3 linked regions of the Pelodiscus sinensis genome follow. Each later gene encodes a partner of the first gene's protein in a complex. Links are inferred from orthologs where the notes say so. Each region holds a gene or a part of one and is shown in the gene's direction. Other genes may lie near its edges. The genes, in order: RAB35, ACAP2 and DENND1B.

The links.
Region 2: the proteins of RAB35 (region 1) and ACAP2 are in contact, whole or in part, in a crystal structure (PDB 6IF3), measured with the Homo sapiens proteins. The link is inferred for Pelodiscus sinensis from reciprocal best matches to the Homo sapiens genes RAB35 and ACAP2. Residues at the interface, in NP_006852.1 of Homo sapiens: Arg3, Asp4, Tyr5, Leu8, Ile41, Gly42, Val43, Asp44, Phe45, Ile47, Lys58, Gln60, Trp62, Phe70, Arg71, Thr72, Ile73, Thr76, Arg79; in NP_036419.3 of Homo sapiens: Val715, Ala718, Asn719, Ala720, Asp721, Val723, Thr724, Arg727, Leu728, Arg730, Met731, Glu734, Met735, Ser738, Glu748, Thr749, Gln751, Arg755, Asp756, Gln759, Met760.
Region 3: the proteins of RAB35 (region 1) and DENND1B are in contact, whole or in part, in a crystal structure (PDB 3TW8), measured with the Homo sapiens proteins. The link is inferred for Pelodiscus sinensis from reciprocal best matches to the Homo sapiens genes RAB35 and DENND1B. Residues at the interface, in NP_006852.1 of Homo sapiens: Lys10, Leu12, Ser17, Ser36, Tyr37, Ile38, Thr39, Thr40, Ile41, Gly42, Val43, Asp44, Phe45, Gln60, Trp62, Thr64, Ala65, Gly66, Arg69, Phe70, Arg71, Thr72, Ile73, Thr74, Ser75, Thr76, Tyr77, Arg79, Gly80, Thr81; in NP_001182144.1 of Homo sapiens: Met1, Arg4, Glu43, Ser47, Phe51, Val72, Leu73, Thr74, Asp75, Ile76, Glu77, Ser78, His211, Glu212, Arg213, Arg214, Gln242, His243, Ile244, Ile246, Leu249, His252, Leu253, Asp255, Tyr256, Cys258, Ala259, Pro260, Met261, Pro262.

What each region holds. Positions count from the first base shown.
Region 1 is NC_134725.1:9,362,143-9,369,562, forward strand, and holds the start of RAB35 (ras-related protein Rab-35), read left to right. Parts: upstream 1-4,221; 5' UTR 4,222-4,511; coding exon 4,512-4,563; intron 4,564-7,420. UniProt on the Homo sapiens protein: The small GTPases Rab are key regulators of intracellular membrane trafficking, from the formation of transport vesicles to their fusion with membranes.
Region 2 is NC_134720.1:55,155,487-55,163,026, reverse strand, and holds the start of ACAP2 (arf-GAP with coiled-coil, ANK repeat and PH domain-containing protein 2), read left to right. Parts: upstream 1-4,466; 5' UTR 4,467-4,578; coding exon 4,579-4,745; intron 4,746-7,540. UniProt on the Homo sapiens protein: GTPase-activating protein (GAP) for ADP ribosylation factor 6 (ARF6). Doesn't show GAP activity for RAB35.
Region 3 is NC_134719.1:46,151,340-46,159,255, forward strand, and holds the start of DENND1B (DENN domain-containing protein 1B), read left to right. Parts: upstream 1-4,910; 5' UTR 4,911-5,224; coding exon 5,225-5,241; intron 5,242-7,916. UniProt on the Homo sapiens protein: Guanine nucleotide exchange factor (GEF) for RAB35 that acts as a regulator of T-cell receptor (TCR) internalization in TH2 cells. Acts by promoting the exchange of GDP to GTP, converting inactive GDP-bound RAB35 into its active GTP-bound form.

The sequences.
Region 1 (7,420 bases):
TTGCCATTGGCGCATGCTGCGCTATTGTGTAGTGGCTCTGATTGACGGTTAGGCATGTGCTGGAGATCGTTCCCTCAGTTCCTTCTCAACCGCCACTGGCAGCAGTCCCAGTAGCAACAGTCTTCCTAGAAAGACTAGAAAGAAAAGAAGAGTATAGCAGGACAAATTAACCGAGGATAAGCCACAGAACACCAGGAAAAAGTGGAGCGGGGCACCAGTGCCGCTGCTGCATCCCACTCATCTGCGGCACTGTTTGATCATGGCACACACTTATGGGGACATGGAGTGGGTGTTACACTCAGCAAGACAGTTATTCAAGATGCTCAGGCTCCTATTGAACTTGGACAAATGTTCCCTCACTCCTACACAAACACTGGAGTTTATAGGAGCACAGCTGGATTGCACCAAGAGCATAGCATCATTGCCAATCCACAGATGGGAAAGATTATGTGCCTTGATCGCGTCGATACAGAGTTGCCCATGCACCTTGGTGCGTACATGCTTGCAAATACTCAGACACATGGACATGTCCATGTTTGTAGTCTTACACGCTCGACTACATATGAGACCATTCCCAGTATGGCTAAGCTCTGCATATCAGCCCAGACACCACGTGATCCACAAGGCATTCTATGTACCCATTTGGGTCAAAGCCACCCTGGATTGGTGGAGAGACATACGCAATGCATGCCTGGGGCTTCTGTTTCAGGCAACAATGCCATCCATCACTATCACAACGGACTTGTCCCTGCTGGGATGGGGAGCCCACAGCAGGAGCATGATACAGGGACAATGGACACAACAGGAGTCCCGGCTCCATATCAATGTGTTGGAGCTCAGGGCAGTCAGACAAGAGTGCTCCCAACTATTTTAGCACATACAGAACAAAACAGTGAGAATAATGTCAGACAATACCGCAACGAATATTACATAAATTGGGCGCGTGAGATCGAGCAGCCTATGTGCGGAAGCTATGAAACTGTGGCAATGATGTATTATACACAACAGTAGGTGTAAAATACAATACACCAACTGCAATGCATTTACCAGGCAAGGACAATGTATTAGCGGATGACCTCAGCAGACAATTCCCAGAATCATGAATGGGAAATCAACAAACCCATCATAAACAACCTTTTCAAGAAATGGGGTTATCCAGTAGTGGACTTGTTTGTGACTCATGCCAACTCCAAGTGTCCCCTATACTGTTCCAGGGCAGGCATTGGACCATGATCTCTCAGGGATGCATTTGCAGACTGCTGGGACTTCCCATGGCATAAGCATTTCCACCTATACCTCATATACAACAGACAGTATTGAAAATCAAACAGGATGCAGCAAGGGTCAGACTGGTAGCCCCCAGTTGGCCGAGACAGATCTGGTACCCTATCACACTACAACTCAGTACTCGTCCCCTGTACAAGTTCCCACTGGTTTGAGTGCTGCTGACCCAGGACAAAGGGCACATACCACATCCTGGACTCCACACCCTAGATCTGCGAGCATGGATGCTTGTTGGCTCTCAAATATGAATTAATGATGTCTCATAGGGTCAGAGATATCCTGGTCAATACTAGAAGACCCACTATGAAATGGACTTACCTGCAGAAGTGGGCCTGATTTGAAGCCTGGAATTGGGCTCAAGCACTGAATAAGGCAACATACTAGAGTATAATCTAAATAGGATGGGGATAGCGGACATACTAGAGTATATTCTCCATCTGCAGGACACAGGACTATCAATTAATTTTCTCACTGTCCACTTGGCAGCCATATCTGTGATACACCCACCTATACAGGGCTATTCCATTTTTTCCCACCCGTGTGTGAAGAGATTTTGGAAAGGGATACGGAACTTTTATTCACCACAGGAAGACCCAGTACCATCATGGGACTTGAATTTCATGCTGGACTCGCTCATGAGATGGTCTTTTGAGCTGCTCACAGCTTGCTTGCTGCTCCACTTCTCAATAAAAGTAGCTTTTCTCGTAGCGATAACATCAGCTAGGAGAGTGGGAGAGATAGTGGCACTCATGGTGGACCCATCGCACACGGTGTTCCACAAGGACAAGGTCATCCTTAGAACCATTCCGAAATTCCTGCCCAAAGTACCTACCTGGTTCCATTGTAAGGAAGCAACGTACTTACCTGTGTTCTTCCCAAAATCACACAAGGACAGCAAGCAGACAGTGCTGCACATGCTGGATGTATGTAGGGCACTAGCCTTTTACCTCGAATGCACAAGAGACTTCAGACGCACTCCCAGACTCTTCGTATCATGGATGGACAGGTCCAGAGGTCAATTGGTTTCCAAACCAATGAATATCCAAATGGATTTCTACAGGCATACAACTGGCTTACACCCAGAAACACAGACAGCCAACAACAGTTATATGGGTGCATTCCACGAAAGCAGTAGCTAACACAACTGCTTTCCTCAAGGGTCTTCCCATAGACATCATCTGCAGAGCTGCAACATGGGCTTTGGACAATACCTTTGCACAACATTATGCTAGTCAGTCCTTTCAGGACTCAGATACTAGATTTGGACATACCATACTTTCCAACATCCAACCCTGCAATACGGAGTGCCCACTGCCAAGCAGGAATACTGCTGTGTAGTCACCTAAGTAGCGCACCCCCGGGGACCCTCAAACATGGCTACCCCTCTGATACTTGTCACCTTATGCAGTAACTGGAGTTCTTTGAGACGTGTCCCTATGGGTGCTCCACACCTATCTTCCTCTCCTCTGCTCCGGACTAACACGATCTGGTGTGGAGAAGGAACGGAGGGAACGGCTGCTGGTATGTGTTTAACCGTCAATCAGAGTGATTGCACAATAGCACAGCATGCGCCGGCAGCCAGGGACTGCTACTAAAGATCTCTGGGCCGTGAAGAACTCCCGTTACTGTACAAGAAAACTTCTATAGAAAAGTAACATGGGAAAATATTGTTAAAGCAAAGGCTTCTATGAAATTTTGGTTATCTTGTCAGTCCTCTCTCCCAGTTCTATGAAAGTTTTAGTCAGTGAAACTTATTTTGCAATTGCAAAAGGCACTAAAAGCGTGCTCAGACTGAAACCTCAGGGTGAGCTACACTAGCAGAAAAGATAAAATACCACTGTGATCTTCATCTCTGGGGGAGGGGGGGGAAGGTCACAGCAGGGCAAATGGATGGAACTTGGTGTTGTATACCTCTAGGTGAATGGATAAAGGTTTAATTGGGTGTAGCTGCATACAAAAGAAAACAGCTCTGCTGTCTGCCTCACTGGACCAAATCGCCATATAAGAGTAGGCATAGCCTCCTCCTTTTACCATGCAGGCCACACCTGTTTAGCAAACAAAGCAGCAATGCACTCTCTCTCATATACTGGACTCTGGGGCTATGTCTACACTGGTGTGTTCTCACGCAAAAACTCTTTTGCGGAAGAGTTCTGCAAAAACTCTTCCAGAAGAGAGCGTCTACACTGGCATGTGCTTTTGCACAAGAGCATGCGTGCCAGTGTAGACACTCTCTTGTGCAAGAAAGCTCTGATGGCCATTTTAACCATCGGGCTTTCTTGCACAAGAAATTCATGTTGCCTGTCTACACTGGCCTCTTGCGCAAGAGCAGTTGCACAAAAGGGCTTACCCCTGAGCGGGAGCGTCAGAGTTGTGGTGCAAGAAGCCAGTGTAGACAGGCAGCAAGTTTTTGCACAAGAGCGGCGCTTTGGCGCCAGTGTGGACACAGCCTTGCAGGGGGGGGGGGGGGCTTGTCCCAATGCTCAGTGGGTTTCAGGGGTGGTAGATTTGTTTATGATAAAATGGGGGGGGCAGGCTGGGAGGGAGGCGCATGCCAGAGCCCCCACATGCCCCTGGGAGGCGGGAGCCCAACCGTCAGGGGCATCGCTAACGGTCGTGGCTGGTCTCGAGGCCAGGTGGGGAGGGGGGAGGCCGCGCGCCAGAGCGGAAGGCCTTTGCTGTGGCGCCCTCTGTGGGGCGCTGGCAGGTGAGACGGGCCGGGCAGGGGACCTGCCTGAGGAAGACAGTGGGGGGAGGGGCACAAGCGCCCGACTGAAACGGGCGGCAACCCTACTGAAGAAGCAATTTTTTTCCCCCCCACCGGCGCTCGTGAGAGCGCATGCGCCCTCGCGTCACGACAACGCATGCGCCCTCGAGTGACAGGGCGCAAGCGCGCACATTAAAGGTCGGGTCGCTGGAGGAAGCGAGGGTTGGTTCAGAGTGCGGGCGAAGGGGCGGGGGAAAGAAACCGAGACAGGCGATGCGCATGCGTACTTGAGCGGCCGATCTGCTGGCGGTCTCCGCTCCCCAGCTGCAGAGCGCGGCTGAGGTGGTGCGCATGCGCAGTGTGGGCATTTGTGACTGAGTGAGAGAGAGAGTGTGTGTGTGTGGGGGGGGGTGGTGTTGCTGCCGCTGTCAGTTCCGGCTGTTTGTTCGGGAAGTGGATCCGGCCCGGAGCCGCCGCCGTCTGAGGAGACCCCGCCGCCCGGAGCCTCCGCTCCCCACCGGCCATGGCCAGGGACTACGATCACCTCTTCAAGCTGCTCATCATCGGCGACAGCGGTGAGGGGCGGGGGGGCGGGGCCGGGCCTCTCCGGGGGGCGCTCGGCGGGGCCGGGCCGGGAGGGGCTGGTGTGTGCGGGGCGGTGCCGCCGGGCTGGGGAGGGGGCCGGTGCCTTGGCTGAGGGGCCGGGAGGCTGAGGGGCCAAGGCAGCCCCGGCCTGCGGTGGGCTGGCCTGGCTGCCTGTGGGGTCAGGTGGTGCCTGCTCAGGCAGGAAAAGACTCGCAGCGCCTCTGCCAGCGTCCTAGCCGCCGGTGAGTTACAACGCATCCTCCCCCCGCCAGCGCTCCTGGGGGGGCTTCTTCTGCACGCTGGGCCTGGGGCTCATCGCTTCTCACCGCTGGCCCCTGTTGAGGCCAACAGCCGCTCCAACGCAATGGAGGCCTTTGTTTTCACAGAGTGGTGTAACCTGTGGAACTTGCTGCCACAGGATGTTGAGGCAAAAAGTTTAACAAGATTCAAAACCGTGTCAGACGGGCATATAATAAGTAAGGATAATGTCCGCATTTACAGTAGCGAGGGTAGACTTTACAAGGGCAATCAAACCTCATGTTTTCAGGGCATAGGCTATTCCCTAGCTGGGATCAGGAAGGAATTCCCTCATAATATAACATACAATTAAGTACCGTCAGGGTTCGGCATTTGCTCAGAAAGCCCTAAGGAGTGTTGTTTCCAGTGCGTCAATTTTTAATTTTCTAACATTTAAAAAAGGTTTTCTTTAGATATGCCTTATTGAAGCTGTGTGTGTGTGTGTGTGTGTGTCAATGTGATCTTTAAAATGGAGGCGTATGTTCTGGATGTATATGTTTCATTTATAATCATGGATATCCAAACACTTAATCTGTTAATTAAAGATAGGGGAAACATCTGATCCTTGGATTTAAAAGGCTTTGCAGAGTTTGAAACACTTTTGAAGGGTAAAAAATTGAATTTACTACCTGTCTTGTTAGTTGATCTATTTTGCAGCTGCCAGAAGTGGTGGATTTCTGTTTCTCTATAGAGGGTTTCCAAACTTCACCCAGTCGAATTCCATAATTGCAGCCCTTCAAGATCCTGAAACTTAATTTAAATAAAATTGAATAAATGGCATCACTCTCATCTTTTAATAAAGGTGTGACCTGTAAAGATAGCAGGTCCCAATGTGTAGTGTGGCATAGGGATGTCAAGAGGTGGGTAACTGACTAATTGTATAGTTACAATTTGTATTGGCTACATGATTAATTTATAAGGGACGGTGATCTTTCCTGGCTTGTGCTGGTCCATGAGCTCCTCCTGCTGCACCTCTGCAGTTTAAATGTAGTAAGAGCCAGGTGCAGGTGGGGAGGTAGCAAGTAGTTGACAACTTGACTACTCACATCCCTAGTGTGGCATGGATAAAATGGATTTGGATAAAAATGGAGCTCTACATGATCCTAGGAATTGTTACCTCCACAAGCTTGCAGATTTCTATCAAATGTGGTGAATACAGTAATTCTTCATTTACCACGTGCCCACTTAACACGTTTTCATGATAGCACGATTTTTTTTAAGAGAACATTTTTTGAATTACACTACCATCCCCGGAATAACATGATTTCCCCAGCCAGCCCGTTGCTGGTGGCTGTGCAGGGCTTCCCTTGCTTCCCTGCAAAGCGGTGGAGGGTTCACGGTTTGCCACGCCATTCCCCGCTGACTCCACCTCGCCGGACGCCTTACCCCCTCTCCTCCGCCCTCTCTTGCAGGCCAGCGGCAGGGTTTCCCCAGCCAGCCTGTCACCGGTGGCTGCGCGGGGCTTCCCCCACCTCCCTGCAAAGCGGCAGAGGGTTCGCTGCGCTGTTCCCCAGCGCTCCCTCCCTCCCTCGCCAGATGCAGTTCAGGTCCTGGCAGACTCGTTACAGGGGCATACTCACAACCCAGTCTCCCTCCTCTCTCCTACCCTCCTCTTCCCCAGAGCCAAACACCTCCCCTCCCTGCTGTAACCCAGTCCCCTTTCTCTCCCAACCTTATGTCCCAGTCCCAACAGACACAACCACTTGAAACACAACCCCCACCTTTTCCATTATTTTCAATGGGAAAATTGACCCCGCATAACACGTTTTCACTTAACACGATCATTTTCTGAAACATATCTATAGTGTTAAATGAGGAATTACTGTATATAGCGCACTGTGGCTACCTCATTGTTGGCCCTATGGCCACAAGAAGGGTAGGGCTCGAGTTTACATAGACCCTGTTTTAAAGGTAACTTTTTTTTAAAAGGGGAATTTATTCTAAGCCCCAGTATGTCCTGGCATACTGACTGCTTTACTAGAGGAGAGAGATCTAGTTTAAATAATTTCTGTCTTGACTGCCAGTTGTTTTCTAAACCATTTAGGCAGATTTCTAATTTAGAGACCTATAAGAGGAAGATTTTTTTTTTCTTTTGGTTAGTTAATTCCTGTTGATGGGATTGCTTAATTTGGACAAAGCCCCTAAAAACCGGAGCATGTACAGTGTCAGAAACTGTGCGTGACCTGATTGTGAGAAGACCAAATGCCTGCATTTCTGGGTTCTAACAGTTAAATCGATTGTAGAGCTACAAATATAGATTGTTAGTGGTTTCTCTTTAAACCCAAGAAGAAGGCTTTGCCCCAGTTTCCAGAAACATTTCACTTGCATCGTTCATTGATCCTCATAGAAAAGCCTCATATTAGGAAACGTTGGATGGATCGTTACATTTTCTGCTTTTCCTCATATGGAATTATGACAGTTTAGAGGACAGTAGGTTTCTGTATTTAAGTGATTTTGAAAATGTGATTGGCCTCCACTGTCTAAGTTGTGCCAAAATTAAAAAAAAAAAAAAAAAAAGAAATATACATATAGTCTCTTATGCAGGGCTAC
Region 2 (7,540 bases), on another chromosome or scaffold:
CCTGCTTTATAATAGCTTGGTAGCATCATATTAAAAAACCCTCTATTGATACGGTGTGGCACAGTGTGATACCAAACCTGGTGGAGTTATGCTCTGTATGGCAGCTTCTCTGCCATCCCAACAGCATGGGAGCATATATACGTACAGCTGCATCTGCCATGCTACTCTATAGCCATCTAGGAGCAGGTGTGGGATCTGCTTGGTTATCCTGTAACTGCTGCTGCCAGCGTGACGGATTGTGCCCTTCTACTGCCATATTGGATTCTGTCCTTAGGCCAGTGGTTCTCAACCTTTTTGATACTGGGGACCAGCAAATCCAGTCACAAACTTTCAGTGGGCTGGTATAATTGTATTTGCATATTCATTATATAAATGATGCATATGCAAATAAAATATTACTGGTCCACCAAAAGCTCAACCCCCAGTGCCAGTCCTAACTCCAGAGCCCCCCACCCTTCCACTGCTCCCCAGCGCCAGCCCTGACTGCAGAGTCCCCTGCACCCAAGCCCCCTAGTGCCAGCCTCCCACTCTGAGCTACCCAGTGCCAGCCGCCCATCCCAAATGCCTGACGTCCTTCACCACCAGACCCCCGTATGAGCCCCTTGTTTCCAGTGCCCCACTGCATCCAACCCCTTCAGTGCCAGCCCTCCACCCCTTCGAGTTCTCCATCACCTCCCACTACCACGAGCCTCCTGTTTCCAGAGCCCGACTGCACCCAACCTCCCCCCAGAACCTCCCCCAGTGCCAGCCCCCTGTATTAACCCTGTACCCAGCACTCTCTTGGCATCCATAGCGCCCCCTGCCCCACTGCTAGCTCATCCTCCAGAGTGCAGAGAAGCGCTCTTCTGTGCCTGGGGGAAGACCCAGCCCCTGACCAGTGCTGTTTGGCTGAGAAGCGAGGCAGGACACGCCTCTCCCAACAGCCATGGTGAGAGCGGTGTACCCCAGTTGCAGCCCCCAGAACTGCCGTGGCCTGGAGCCGCTGCCTTAGGCTAATCCCTCATCCTTGGTACTTGTGGGGTAAAGCATGTGGCAGAATAGTTTGTCCCATGTGGGTCAGTCCCCCTTGTCACACGGCATGGCCGCAGAAGCTTCTGGAGGGTCTGATACATGCGCATACACCCAGCATACACGTGCGCCATGGGGAGGAAGTGATTCTGAGAAGAAGTGATGCTTGGGCACCAGCAGCTGAAGGAGGAGATGGGGGAATGCTATGACTTTCTGCTCCTGGACACCAGCCAGAGCAGTAGCTGCCCCGCACTTCCTGTCCTTTAACCTGGCCCGGGAGCAGGACCTGAGGTGGTAGCCTCCTGTGGGACTGCCCCACTCTCATTATGGCACTGCAGTTTGGGGAGGCAGTGTCCGCTCATGCCCTCCTAACTCTGCCCCTGGGCTCCTCAGGTGGGGGCACTGGGGCTCAGGAACCCCCTGAAACCAGCTCCTGGCCTGCCTGAGGGCTGCTTTAGGAAATCTCATCTGACCTGCATACAGCCCAGGTCATTCCATTTCACCCACACATTGCCGTGTTGAGCCCATAACTTGTTTAGCTAAAGCCTGTTTCAGAAAGGCATCTGGTCCTGATTTGAAGACAGCTAGAGATGAAGAATCCAACCTTTTCCATGCTTGTTTTGTTCCAATGGTTAGTCACTGTCACTCTGTTGTATTTCTCATTGCAATTTGGCTCCAGTTTCCAGCCCTTGGTTCTTGTTATGACTTACTATGCTAGATTAAAGAACTCTCAATACTCAGACTTTTCCCTGTAAAAGTTGTCACCTCTCGATCGCTGATGAACTGACCAGATGGAGTTCTGTTTCAAATCTTTCCCTGGAAGGCATTTTCTTCATTCTGGAATCATTTTAGTGGCTCTCTTCTGTACCTTCTCCGGTTTTTCAATGTCTTTTCTAAAACACAGACACCGGAACTGCATGCAGCATTCCAGTGTGTCCGCAATGCCTTCTTCCAAGCAAATACCACCCCCATGTTTGTGTGCATCCAAGAATTGCATGAATCCTTTTTGCCATAGCATGACGCTGGCAGTTGATATTCAATTGCTTGTCTGCTGTGACCCCTGAATCCTTTCCAGAATCATTGTGTTCCAGACCTGTGTTCTGCAGTGATTACCTGCATTTCTTGGTCCTAGATGTATAACCTTTCACTTTTTGCTATACTAAAACTCATTTTGTTTGAATGGGCCCATTTTACCAGGCAGTATTGGCCACTCTGCCATTCGTTGGCCATGTCTACACTGGCAGGTGTAAAGTGCTTGCAGTTGCAGTGCTGCTCCCAGAGTGACGCAGGGAAATTTGCTGTTGTGTCCCCACACTGTGCTTCTTGTGATGGCTGCTTTTACCACAGAAGTGAGAGAGAGAGAGCGCTTTTACAGCAGAAGTGAGAGAGAGAGAGAGAGAGAGAGTGTGTGTGTGTGTGTGGTGGGGGGAGACAGTTTTGGGGATGTCAGCGTGCTATCTTGTAAGTTTGGACAGGGGAAGGAAACAACCCCTTCTGAGGCAGTGGGAGGGGGAACCTTGACATCTCAGCCCCTCTTTGCAGGGCAATCTCTGTCTCTCTCTCATTCACTTACACGCCTGCCTCTGTTTAACAGTATGAGCTTTTCATCTGACTGGTTTGCTCTATCCATGTGCATGCTTATCAGTATGCACAACTGGAAACTGTTTCATACAAAATACTTTGTGTAAGGTGTCATTTGAATAATGGTAATTTACTGAATATGATTTTCCCGCTTGTATGCATGTATCATTCCTGTGTTGGAAGTTAGAAATATGACGTATAAACCTGTATTACTAATATAGGTATGAATGATGAGTGAGGGCCATTAAGGGTATTCAGAAATGTGATGGCTAATAAGGTCATTGATCTGTAAGTGGGCCTGTCCATAGGTGGAGCTGAAAGTCCCCACAGGAACATGTGTATTATGTCATTTGATAGGGGTGTCCATCTTCAATGTAGTATTTTTTCACATGGAGGGAGGCTTGCCAGCAAACAAAGCCTTCCCACCTTCTGCACAACCCATTTCAGAGAGGAGCCCTTAAAGTTATGGGGGCCAGTTGTCAGGACACCACTGCTTGTGCCCCAAGATGACTGCTGGAAACCTCTAAGACTGAACGGGGGAAGGATAAAGCCCAGACTGGGAGGCTGTCCAGTTTATGAAAGAAGCTTTTCAGAATGAAGGTGAGAGATTCCCTGTAGACAGTTTCTTAGTGTACTGAGCTTAGCTGGAATGTTTATTTTGCTTAGAAACTTACTTTGTTCTGAGTGCTATTACTTACAACCACTTACATCTGGTTTGTACTTTTGTATATATGAGAGAGTTTGTGTGTCTGGTCAGTCTGTCCAAGAACAACTCAAAAAAGGTAAGAGCAAGGATCGCTACATTTGATATGCACCTTCCTCTTATTGTAACTTAAAGCAAGTTCAGGGGTTTTGTGCCAGGACAATGAGATTTGCATGGAATCCGATTATTTTTCATGAAAGTCACAGGGTTTAGGATTATTTCTCATAAAACGCTTGCAAGGACTGTTATACTGCAGAAAGAACACAGGGGACCGGGTGCACTGGTAAGAGTGGCTGTCTAGGAGTGGGACTTTGCATGTTGCTATATGTAGGTAAGGTTCCCATGCTGGCGAGCTGCTGGCTAGGCACTACCCACCCTGTTGCACCAGGCAGCCCTGTGGATTGGACAGCCTTCTGCGCCCCTTATTTCTACGCATCCCAGCCCCCCATATTCCTAAGCCCCTGCAGTGCCGCAGCCCTTCCTTAATGACACGAGCAATGCCAGTTAACATGCGTGTTTACTAATGAACCAGGATCACTAGTTTTGCTGGGCAGAGGGTAGCCGCTGGGCATCCCCGGGTGTAAGAGCGAGGGCAGCCACGGCACTGAGACATTCCGCTGGGCGCGGGCACCTGGCTGTTGTGGCTGAGCTGAAGGCTCGATTACAGGGCCGGGGCTGCGAGACCGAGCGGGGGGGCGTTTCACAAGCCGGCCGGGGCAGCGCGCTTCTGAGCCCGGGGACACGTGCCCTGCGGCCGGGAGCCTCGCTCCTCTCGTGGCCCGCGGGGCCGCCCCGTGCACGTGGGGCTGGAGGGACCCGCCCTGCCCCGGGAAGTGGCAGCGGGGCGGCCCCTCATCCCCCTGTTTCCTCAACGGTCCCGCCCGCCGTGCGTGGGGCCTCTGGGGCCGAGCCAGCCCCGCCCTATGCCTAGCAGCCCGGCAACGCCCTCGCTACCTTTCTCGGCGGCTGCAAAGCCCGCCCCCAGCTTTTCCCTCTCTGATTGGTCGAACTCACTGCCAGTCAGCAGTGAAAGCCGGCAAGCGGGGTAAAAGCTGTGACGTTGCGGCTTTCCCCTATGACCATTGGCTTGCTTGGATATCAATCATGGAGAAAAGGCGCCATAAGGAAGTAGCGGCCTGTCGCGTTCTGCGATTGGTTAGCTCTCCTAGTGGTGATTGCACAGGCGCCTCCAGTCTCCTGACTTGATTGGATACTTTCGTTGTCCGTCACCCCGGCACGCGAGCCGCAGGAAAGCCCGCCTACAGAAGCCAGAATTGGCCAAGCGTATGCATTCTGCTTTCCGATTGGCTGCCTGTGCTTGTCAGTCTCTGCAATGGGACAGGCGGCGATCGATCGGCACCGCCCCCGGCGCCCCGCCCCGCCCTGCCCCTCGCCCCACCATGAAGGTGGCCGTGGACTTCGAGGAGTGTCTGAAGGACTCGCCCCGCTTCAGGTGAGGGGGGGGCGCCTGCGGGCCCGTATTCCGCGGGGCTGGGCCCCCCCGCTCCCGGCCCGGGTCCCTGCGACCCCCCCCGCTCCCCCCCCGCTCCCCGCCCGGGTCCCTGCGACCCCCCCGCGCCCCCCCCGCTCCCGGCCCGGGTCCCTGCGACCCCCCCCGCGCCCCCCCTCGCTCCCGGCCCGGGTCCCTGCGACCCCCCCCGCGCCCCCCCTCGCTCCCGGCCCGAGTCCCTGCGACCCCCCCCGCACCCCCCCTCGCTCCCGGCCCGGGTCCCTGCGACCCCCCCCGCGCCCCCCCTCGCTCCCGGCCCGAGTCCCTGCGTCCCCCCCCCGCTCCCGGCCCGGGTCCCTGCGACCCCCCCCGCGCCCCCCCTCGCTCCCGGCCCGAGTCCCTGCGACCCCCCCCGCACCCCCCCTCGCTCCCGGCCCGGGTCCCTGCGACCCCCCCCGCGCCCCCCCTCGCTCCCGGCCCGGGTCCCTGCGACCCCCCCGCTCCCCCCCCGCTCCCGGCCCGGCTCCCTGCGACCCCCCCCCCCCGCTCCCGGCCCGGGTCCCTGCGACCCCCCCCCCGCTCCCGGCCCGGGTCCCTGCGGCCCCCCCCGCGCCCCCCCCCCGCTCCCGGCCCGGGTCCCTGCGGCCCCCCCCGCGCCCCCCCCCCGCTCCCGGCCCGGGTCCCTGCGACCCCCCCCCGCTCCCGGCCCGGGTCCCTGCGGCCCCCCCGCGCCCCCCCCCGCTCCCGGCCCGGGTCCCTGCGGCCCCCCCGCGCCCCCCCCCGCTCCCGGCCCGGGTCCCTGCGGCCCCCCCGCGCCCCCCCCCGCTCCCGGCCCGGGTCCCTGCGGCCCCCCCGCGCCCCCCCCCGCTCCCGGCCCGGGTCCCTGCGGCCCCCCCCGCGCCCCCCCCGCTCCCGGCCCGGGTCCCTGCGACCCCCCCGCGCCCCCCCCCGCTCCCGGCCCGGGTCCCTGCGACCCCCCCCGCGCCCCTCCTCGCTCCCGGCCCGGGTCCCTGCGACCCCCCCCGCGCCCCCCCTCGCTCCCGGCCCGGGTCCCTGCGACCCCCCCCGCGCCCCCCCTCGCTCCCGGCCCGGGTCCCTGCGACCCCCCCCGCGCCCCCCCTCGCTCCCGGCCCGGGTCCCTGCGACCCCCCCCGCGCCCCCCCTCGCTCCCGGCCCGGGTCCCTGCGACCCCCCCCGCGCCCCCCCTCGCTCCCGGCCCGGGTCCCTGCGACCCCCCCCGCACCCCCCCTCGCTCCCGGCCCGAGTCCCTGCGTCCCCCCCCCGCTCCCGGCCCGGGTCCCTGCGACCCCCCCGCACCCCCCCCGCTCCCGGCCCGGGTCCCTGCGACCCCCCGCACCCCCCCCGCTCCCGGCCCGGGTCCCTGCGACCCCCCCGCACCCCCCCCGCTCCCGGCCCGGGTCCCTGCGACCCCCCCCCCCCCCGCTCCCGGCCCGGGTCCCTGCGACCCCCCCCCCCCCGCTCCCGGCCCGGGTCCCTGCGACCCCCCCCCCCCGCTCCCGGCCCGGGTCCCTGCGACCCCCCCCCCCCCGCTCCCGGCCCGGGTCCCTGCGACCCCCCCCCGCTCCCGGCCCGGGTCCCTGCGGCCCCCCCCGCTCCCGGCCCGGGTCCCTGCGGCCCCCCCCGCTCCCGGCCCGGGTCCCTGCGGCCCCCCCCGCGCCCCCCCCCCCCGCTCCCGGCCCGGGTCCCTGCGGCCCCCCCCCGCGCCCCCCCCCCCCGCTCCCGGCCCGGGTCCCTGCGTCCTCCCCCCGCTCCCGGCCCGGGTCCCTGCGACCCCCCCGCACCCCCCCCGCTCCCGGCCCGGGTCCCTGCGACCCCCCCCGCACCCCCCCCGCTCCCGGCCCGGGTCCCTGCGACCCTCCCCGCTCCCTGCCCGGGTCCCTGCGACCCCCCCGCGGCCCCCCCGCCGCTCCCGGCCTGGATCCCTGTGACCCCCTTTCCCCCGCGGCCCCCCCCCCCCCCCCGCCGCTCCCGGCCCGGGTCCCTGCGACCCCCCCGCGGCCCCCCCGCCGCTCCCGGCCTGGATCCCTGCGACCCCCTTTCCCCCGCGGCCCGAGTCCCTGTCTTGCCCCGCTCTGCCTGGTGAGCCCGAAGGGGGAAGCGGCGCTGGGGAGGGGCCGGGACAAGGCGCGTCGCGGGGGCAGCTGCTGCGGTGTCAGGGGCTGGCTGAACTGAGCCGGCGGTGGGACCGGTTTGGCTCGTCCCTTGCAGCCCGACCACAGACCACTGCTGGGTTTAAAAAGTAGCAGCATGTTTAAAACAGCTGGACGTGTATCCGCCCTGAGCAGTAGTTATTAGCGAATAGTCAAATAAAAAACGTCTGCCCATGGGGTCTGATGTAACTGTAGATCTCTTCCAGGAAACCTGAATAAAATGAACTTGTTGCAAGAGTTCAAACGCGGTGGCAAAAGTGTTCAAGTCGATCACTGCTGTTGTGAATTTATTTTCCAGCTCTATTGAATAGAATAGCATGGGGACTCTGCCGTTTCTGAACTACTGTATAGTAGTTCAGACTGGGCAACAAAATGGCAGATGAAATTCATTATTGATAAATGCATATTGGAAAACATCCCACCTATATGTATAAAATAATGGGAACCAAATTGGCTGTTATCACTTGAAATAATTCCTCTTGAAATCATTGTGGATGGTTCTCTGAAAACATCCAGTCACTGGGTAATGGCAGTAAAAAAAGCTTGGGAATCATTATGCAAGAAATAGATTGTGTCTAAGAATATCCTATTGCCATCTGTCTCTGTGTGTGATATCATGGGGACCAT
Region 3 (7,916 bases), on another chromosome or scaffold:
AACTCTTTTATGAAAAGGCCACATCTTTTAAGGGCTGAGATTGGTTTCTGGGATGGACTGTTAAGGATCTATTTTTTAATATTTTCTTGAGGCAAATATCATAGGCTGGGCACCTAATTGGGATATTCATGCTTGTGTTCTCCTTTTGGAGAATTTTGAATAGAAATTGTCATATTGTAATTGTTCAGCATTTACAGTTTGGAATAGTGACAGACTAGCCTGTGTTTCAATTTCTCTATCTCACTGAAATCAAGAGCAAAACTGCCAATAAAACAAGTATTTAGCCCTAAGAGATGACTCAAAGTCTGTAATGTCTCTGTGACGGGCCGGCCCCTGACCAGGGGCGAGGGGAGCGGAGCCCCCGCCGGCCGTCACTCTCCCGGGGGCGGGGCGAGCGGAGTCCCCACCGGCGGGGTTCTGCCGGCCGGCCCCAGACCCCCCAGCAACCCCGCAACTCCAGCCGCCGGGGGTGGCAGGCGGGGGCGCTTCCCCCGCGCTTGCGCCGGCAGCTGACGGGCGGCTCCCCCCCCACCGGGCCACGCAGGGAAGGCGGGGCCGGGGCTCACGGCCACTGGCGAGGGCTGCCAGCGGGGACGTGCCCGGAAGGGGCGGGGCCCCGGGCGGCGGCCGGCGCGGCGGGCCAGTTTAAAAGTGCCTGCCGCCGGAGAAGCGGGGCACAGGCTCCTCGCGGCGGCGGAGGAGCAGCCCCCACCACAGGACGGAGCGTGAGCGCCACACAGCCCGGCTACCGGCCCGGCGCTGGTCCCGGGGCCTCCGGGACAGCCACTGCCCCTGGCGAGCACTCAGCCCCTCGCCAGACGGCAGGAGGACCCCACCACGCCGAGTCAGGAGGGACCGGGACGGCCAGGAGCGCGCCAGGGCCGGAGAGCTCACCCCCGAGACTCCACCGGAACGTGAGACGCCACAGACCGCGGAGTCGAGGTAGGCGCCAGGGCGACGGGGATCGGCAGGCGGACCCAACGGGAGGGAGGAAGGAGCCCGGGGCAGGGCGCTTCTGGCGGCCGTGGGTGGACGGGCCACAGGGGGGAGAATCCTCACCCCCCTCGTCCACCGTGCCGGGGCGCTAGCGGCCCCGGCGCTCAGGGCCCCGGGCTGGGACCCGGAGAGAGGGCGGGACCGGGTCCCCCTCCCTCCACACGGGGAGCGTCCAGCACCCGACAGCCACACTAACCGACAGGGACCAAACTAGAACCCCGGACTGGGGGAGGAGGACCTAAGGCTAGGGGCTCCGGCCCCATCCCGCTCGGCGGGTACTCACGGCCCGGGGTTTGCTGACCCCCCCTTCTGGCTGGGAGGGGGTGATCGCACCCCCAGGGGCCTGGACTCCACATTGGCGGCCCAGGGACAACACAGGACAAAAGGAGGACCAAAAGGGGTCCGCAGACCCCCCCCTCGGACCGGGAGGGGGTGATCGCACCCCGAAACCCTCACAGTCTCATATTGTTTTAGATTAAGCGACTAATGCTGTGCACATCTTCCAGATGAATCTAGAAGGGGCAGCCCTGCTAGTCTGTAACTTTAAAAACAAAGATAAGTCTTGTGACACCTTAGGGTATATCTACACTGCACACTTATTTTGAAATAAGCTATTTTGGAATTGACTTTCCGAAATAGCTTATTTTGAAAAAGCACGTCTATACACAAAAGACGCATTAAAATAGCACTTAGCTATTTCAAAATAGAGCATCCACACTGATTGGACACTGACTGACATTTAAGGCCACCCGGAACCACTTAAGGCAGGGCACCAGGTCAGCAGTTATTTCCTGGAGCTGCTGCCTGAAGCTATCTGAGATGTGAGCTTAAAGGGACCCCCCTGGACAGCCATTTCTCAGGTTCAGTCAGCGGCTGACTACAGGAAGCCCGAGGCAGAGTTGCTCTGCCCCAGGCTTCCTGGAATCAGCCGCTGATCAGTTTCAGCAGCAGCTGACTTGGGGACGCCTGCGTTTCTTAAGTCGAATCTGTATGTAAGTCAGAACTGGCATCCAGATTCAGCCGCAGTTGAAACTGATGTTTCAGCAGCGGCTGACGCCAGTTCCGACTTACATACAGATTCAACTTAAGAACAAACCTACAGTCCCTATCTTGTACGTAACCTGGGGACTGCCTGTAATGCTGTTTTATATATTTAGTATACAGGCAGTCCCCGACTTACGCGGATCCGACTTATGTCGGATCCGCAGTTACGAACGGGGCTGCCCCAGAGTACACGGACTGCGGGACCTCGCAGACCAGGAAGACGCAGAGCAAAGCCGCGGAGGGGCTTGGGCAGCGAGGCACCCCAGGCGCGCCTGGACTGCCCCGCCGCCGGCTTCCCCGTGCTTTGCAAAGCCGCGGGGGGGGGGGGGACTCGGGCAGCGAGGCACCCCAGGCGCGCCTGGACTGCCCCACTGCTGGCTTCCCCGCGCTTTGCAAAGCCGCGGGGGGGGGGGGGGGCTCGGGCAGCGAGGCACCCCAGGCGCGCCTGGACTGCCCCACCGCCGGCTTCCCCGCGCTTTGCAAAGCCGCGGGGGGGCTCGGGCAGCGGGGCACCCCAGGCGCACCTGGGCTGCTCCGCTGCCGGCGTCCTCAGAGGCGCTCCCCGTCTCCCTGGTCTGCTGGTCTCCAGCAGACCAGGGAGACGGGGAGCAAAGCCGGAGGACCCAGGCGGCGGGACCGCGCAGCATCTCGGTCCGCCGCCTGAGTCTTCCTGGTCTGCTGGGGTGGGGGGGGGGGGGGCGCAGCTAGTACGCCCCCCTCCCCCAGCAGACTAGGCTTTTCTCCGGACGCCTGTGGCAGAGCAGCTGGGGTGCTGCCAGTTGGTCCCGCAGCGCCGCTCTGGGCGCTACTGGTGCAACCCAGCAGCACCCCAGCTGCTCTGGTCCTGATTCAGCCACTGCTGGTCAGTTTCAGCAGCGGCTGAATCAGGACACCTGGGGCAGAGCAGATGGGGTGCTGCTGGGTTGCGGCGCTACTGGAGCAACCCAGCAGCACCCCAGCTGCTCTGCCCCAGGCGTCCCCAAGTCAGCTTCTGCTGAAACTGACCAGCGCTGACTACAGGAAGCCTGAGGCAGAGTTGCTCTGCCCCAGGCTTCCTGGAATCAGCTGCTGATCAGTTTCAGCAGCAGCTGACTTGGGGACGCTTGGGGTTCTTAAGTTGATTCTGTATGTAAGTCAGAACTGGCGGTCAGTTTCAGCAGCGGCTGAATCTGGACGCCAGTTCCGACTTACATACAGATTCAACTTAAGAACAAACCTACAGTCCCTATCTTGTACGTAACCCGGGGACTGCCTGTAGTTGGGAATTTGGCTACACAGACCACGTAAGATGAATGGGACTTGGGGCCTTCATAGGGCCAGCTTTGTTTTTATCACATTCCAAACTCCATGGGATTGCTACCATCCATAAAGATATTTGTGTATAAGGGTTTGCAGGATTGGCAATTTACTCTTATAATTTCTTCTCTGGGATTACTGGTTAAGAATTTGGGGGTACAGTTTGTTTAAAATGTAATACAAAGCTGAACTAACAGCATTATGGGCTAAAATCAAATAATTAATTTTAAAATTATCTTAAAACCATTATAGTCCCCTCCCTCCTGTAGAAGTACCAGACACACCATGGTAATAAAATTATTAGTTTATAGCATAGAATGGCCTTGATCCTGATCCATGAGTCCATTCATATAGTTCAGCTTAAGGAGTCTAAATATACTCAACAGAGCTATGCAATATGTTCTAGAAGAGATAATGTGATTGCCAGAATAACTGCACTATTTGCAAACTGAATGGACCAAATTAATCTCTGGCATAAGATCTCCCCTAGAAGCAAGTACAAGTCACACTGGTTTATGGAAGGGCTATATATTATATTGACCAACAAAAATACTCTCAGGAGTATTTTTCAAATTTTTCTTTCAACTACATGCTTGCTACTCCATCTGAAGTTAAAGGAATTGTCCCTTAGAAAGAAATAGGCCCTAATTTTGAAAATACACAGAGTAACTTTGTTTGTGAAGAGCTGCATTGAGTTCAGTGGGACTACTGGCATATATAATTGTTTACACTATTAGGTTGTAGAGTATGTCTCTTCTATTGCCCTTTTCCTGTATGCTGCAAGCTGGCCCATATGAATGGACTCATGGGTCAGGATAACGGCCTTTCTACACTATAAAGACCAAATAGTGCAAGTCATGTTTAACATTGTGCACTGTAAAAGTTGCATTGACATCTGACTCTTATCAAAGCCAATATGGGACTATATTTATAGTGAATAAAGGTCAGCATATATTTATCTCTTTGCATGACTGGAGTCCGCAGGATGAGGCCTTGGCTTAGAGAGCCAGCTTTCTGGAGGGGAGAGAGCAGAGCAGTCACTGATTAATGAAGCACTTCTGAAGTCCTTTCTGTGGGGATGGAGGGTTTTGCAATGTGCTTTAGTGAGGGGAGATTTTAAATATCTGACTCACCATTTTATTTCCCTTTCCCCGTTTTGTTGATGTGTGAGCATAAATGCTATGTAAGACTATGAACAACCTGAGAGAACCCAGGGCAGAAGGTGCTGGGAGGTGATGTGCCACGAGCAGAAGCGTAGCTGTCTCTTTCTAAAAACCGGAGGGAGGAACCGGACCCAGTGGTGGGGTTTTGTTTCCTCGTTCTTCGCCCCAGGAGAAGGAAGCGTTCCTACTAACGAAAGGAGAAGTTCAGGCAGCCCCTTGGAAGAGAGGCGGAGGGCCGGGCAGGGCGCTTGTGTTTGGAAGCGCACGGCCCCAATGGGGGGACGCCACTAGGCAGGGGTCCGGCAGTGGAGCCGGGGCCGGGCCCTAGGACAGGGACGGAGCAGGCCCTGGGGCCGGGCAGCCCTTACCCCGCAGCAGTTCAGCCCCCGCGCCACACCCACCCGGGGGCGCTAGGCAGGGCCACCCCGGGAGCGGCCGGCGCAGGTGACACCGCCACTGGCGGCTGCTCCGGCCCCCGCCGAGCTTCCTGCTTCCCAGAAGGTGCCGGCGCGGCGGCAACAGGAACTGAGGCCGGGAGGAGGCGGTGCCGCCGCTCCCCGCCGCGCTCACGGCCCGAGCCGGGGGAGCGGAGCCACCATGGTTCGTCGCCAGCAGCCGCTGTAGCCTCCGCACCCCCCCGCCGGGGCCGGCGCCCCCTCCCTGCCCCGCCGGGCGAGGCGTTTCCCGGGGGGCGCGCACCGGCCGCCGCGGCCCGAGATGTGACCATGGACAGCAGGATCAAGTGAGTGCGGGCGGGGCGGCTCCGGGGCTGCGCGGGAGGGAGAGGGCAGGAGGGACTAGGCCGCAGAGCCTCCCCCAGCCTGGCTCGCCGGCGGCCAGACCCCCGGGGCATGACGGCCAGGAGCGGGGCTGTCACGGGAGTCCGCACCGCAAGCCCGCTTCCCCCGCAGGTGGCACCCTGGCTGCCTCCCCGTGGGCAGCTGGTGGGCTCCTCCCTCCGGCCCCCCATCCCAGTCACCGGCCCTCACTGGAGAGGCCATGAATGCCGCAGCCCTCCCCACCAGGAGAGCTTGTCAACTCCCTGCCCCGAAGAAATCTCTCCCGGCCTTGTCACCCCCGGGGAGAGGCTGTAAAACACTCACTGTCAAAATGACCCCCCCCCCCCAACTTCAGTCTCGGAGACATGCACCTTCCAGTGAGCCCCGCTTGGGAAACCCTTTATCCCCCAGAGGAGAAGATAAAGATAGATGGAGCCTTATAATAATCTCCATCCCACTGAGGGAGTCTGCCCTAAAAGTGGGAGGACTGAATGGACCATTGTTTCTGCCTCTGGGAGCCTATGGCTTTAAACTTCAGGGAAGTCAGTATCAGCCCAGTGCTTGGTATCTACTAGACTTCTCAGAAAACTGTCCATGGTGATTTGTTATCAGGTGGATTGCAAAAAACCAATACCCAACAAACTTTTATATTTATGCTTCTGTGTTGATTGTCTCTTTGTATCTATTGACAATAAATAGGGATTTAAAAATATGCCTGCCATATGTGTGAAAATTACAGGTGAATGAGTCCTGTTTTTGAGTAACAGCCACAAAAATAGTGCTTAAAACTAATAACATTAAAACAGTGGATGTTGATAAATATTCTTCTATGGAATCTAACATCTTTCTCTTTAATTATTTAAGAAAATGACTATATTTTTCAAAACATTAACAGAATAATTCTGTCTTGGGAGAATGTTAATGTAACCTAGCTGGGTTGATAGTAACTTTGGTGAAGTTAATTTTTTTTGCCTATTGTGAGTAGTCCCATTGACTTCCTTAATTTGGTAACTGATGAGACATTAAATCTGTATTTTGTAAATGTATAGTGATCTATGATGAGTAAGTGTGCTGCTGTTGAGTAGCTTTATAGAAATGAGAATCAGTCTGACATACATCAGACTAGTTTGACATATTTCTTCACACGTCTAAGTCTAAGCAACACCTTGTATGTGGGAGGTGAAGAATAAACCTAGAACTTTTCTGAGGAAACAGACTTTGTGATTGTGTACTGAAGGGAGCAAACACATTTTCACATGCTGTGTCATTGACTGTAAATTCAATTAACTTGAACTCTGAAGTCCTAATCCTGTATTTGAGACACAGTTTTGATAGAAATGGATGAATTAAATCCAGCATTCTTACTTTCCACTCCTTTAAGGAAGGGACAAAAAATGAGAGACAAGAGTAAACACACACCTTGGATTAAATTTAATCGAACCCTTTCATGGTACAGGAATTCCACTGTTTTCACTTTCTTACCAGTTTCGTTCTCATTTAAATGAGTGCAACTCTAATTAGACTAATTTTGATTTTGCTAGTTGAGAGGAGAAACAATCATATTTTCTGTTACACTCTTGTAAGTCTCCAGTAATATGACTTTACATTGGTATTACTGAGAGCAAAGCTTAGCCCCATATCTGCAGAACCAGCTCATTTAAGATCCTCTTTTCCAACTGAATAATTTAAAAAGTGAGGTGCGGAAGTAACATGATGTGGTAAGATATATGATTGATGCTCAGAAATTTAGTATTTCAGTTTTAATAAAAATGTATATCATAAATGGTTGATGAAAAAATAAATGATAGAAAATATATTAAGTAACCGATGAGTTAGAAAGTTTCCCTCCAGTCCAAAATCCCCCTAAAACTTTTTTAAAAACATGTATTGTACTATCAATCTGTGATATGCTTTATATGCATCATTTTAGAAACCTGGAGCCCAGTCTTGAATTCCTTATTTGTGGAGAATTGCTGACTTCAGTAGGAAAGTTACTCAAGAAAAGAGTTCAAACCTGGGCCCCTCATGTGGTTTCTTAGATAACTAATTGATATGGTTGAGGTTATAATTCTTGCATTTAATATAAGTACAAGTTGAAACTCTCTAGTCTGGCACTCTGGTCTGGCAACATGGTCTGGCATGATTTTAGTTAGCGGAATGTCCACTTTTCATGGCTGGGATCATGTTTTTGGTGGTCCCAACAGGCTTGGCTCTCAGTCTTGGCTCTTGTTCTGTGCTGTTATTTAGTGCTAATTTACCTCCAAATGTCTTCTAAGAGCCCAGTAAGCAGCAGAAGTGTTGGTAATGCTACTAGACAATATTGACCTCCCATGGTTTGGCAAATTCTCTGGTTCAGCACTGGTCAGGTCCTGAGGGTGCTGGACTAGAGAAGTTCAACCTGTAGTAGATTGCTCATTAAAATAATGATATAAATAATTCAGAAGAATGAAAATAAATTAGGTTCAGATGCAACTGTTAACATAATCAAGAAATTACTGAAATGTATAAGTTTATTCACGGACAGAGAATGCTAATAATGGCACTCATTTGTGACTGTTCTGTTCAAATAATTATTTAAACTGAGGCTAGGGCTGGGCAAAGAGCTATCAACCAGCAAATGTAATTATAATTATTAGAG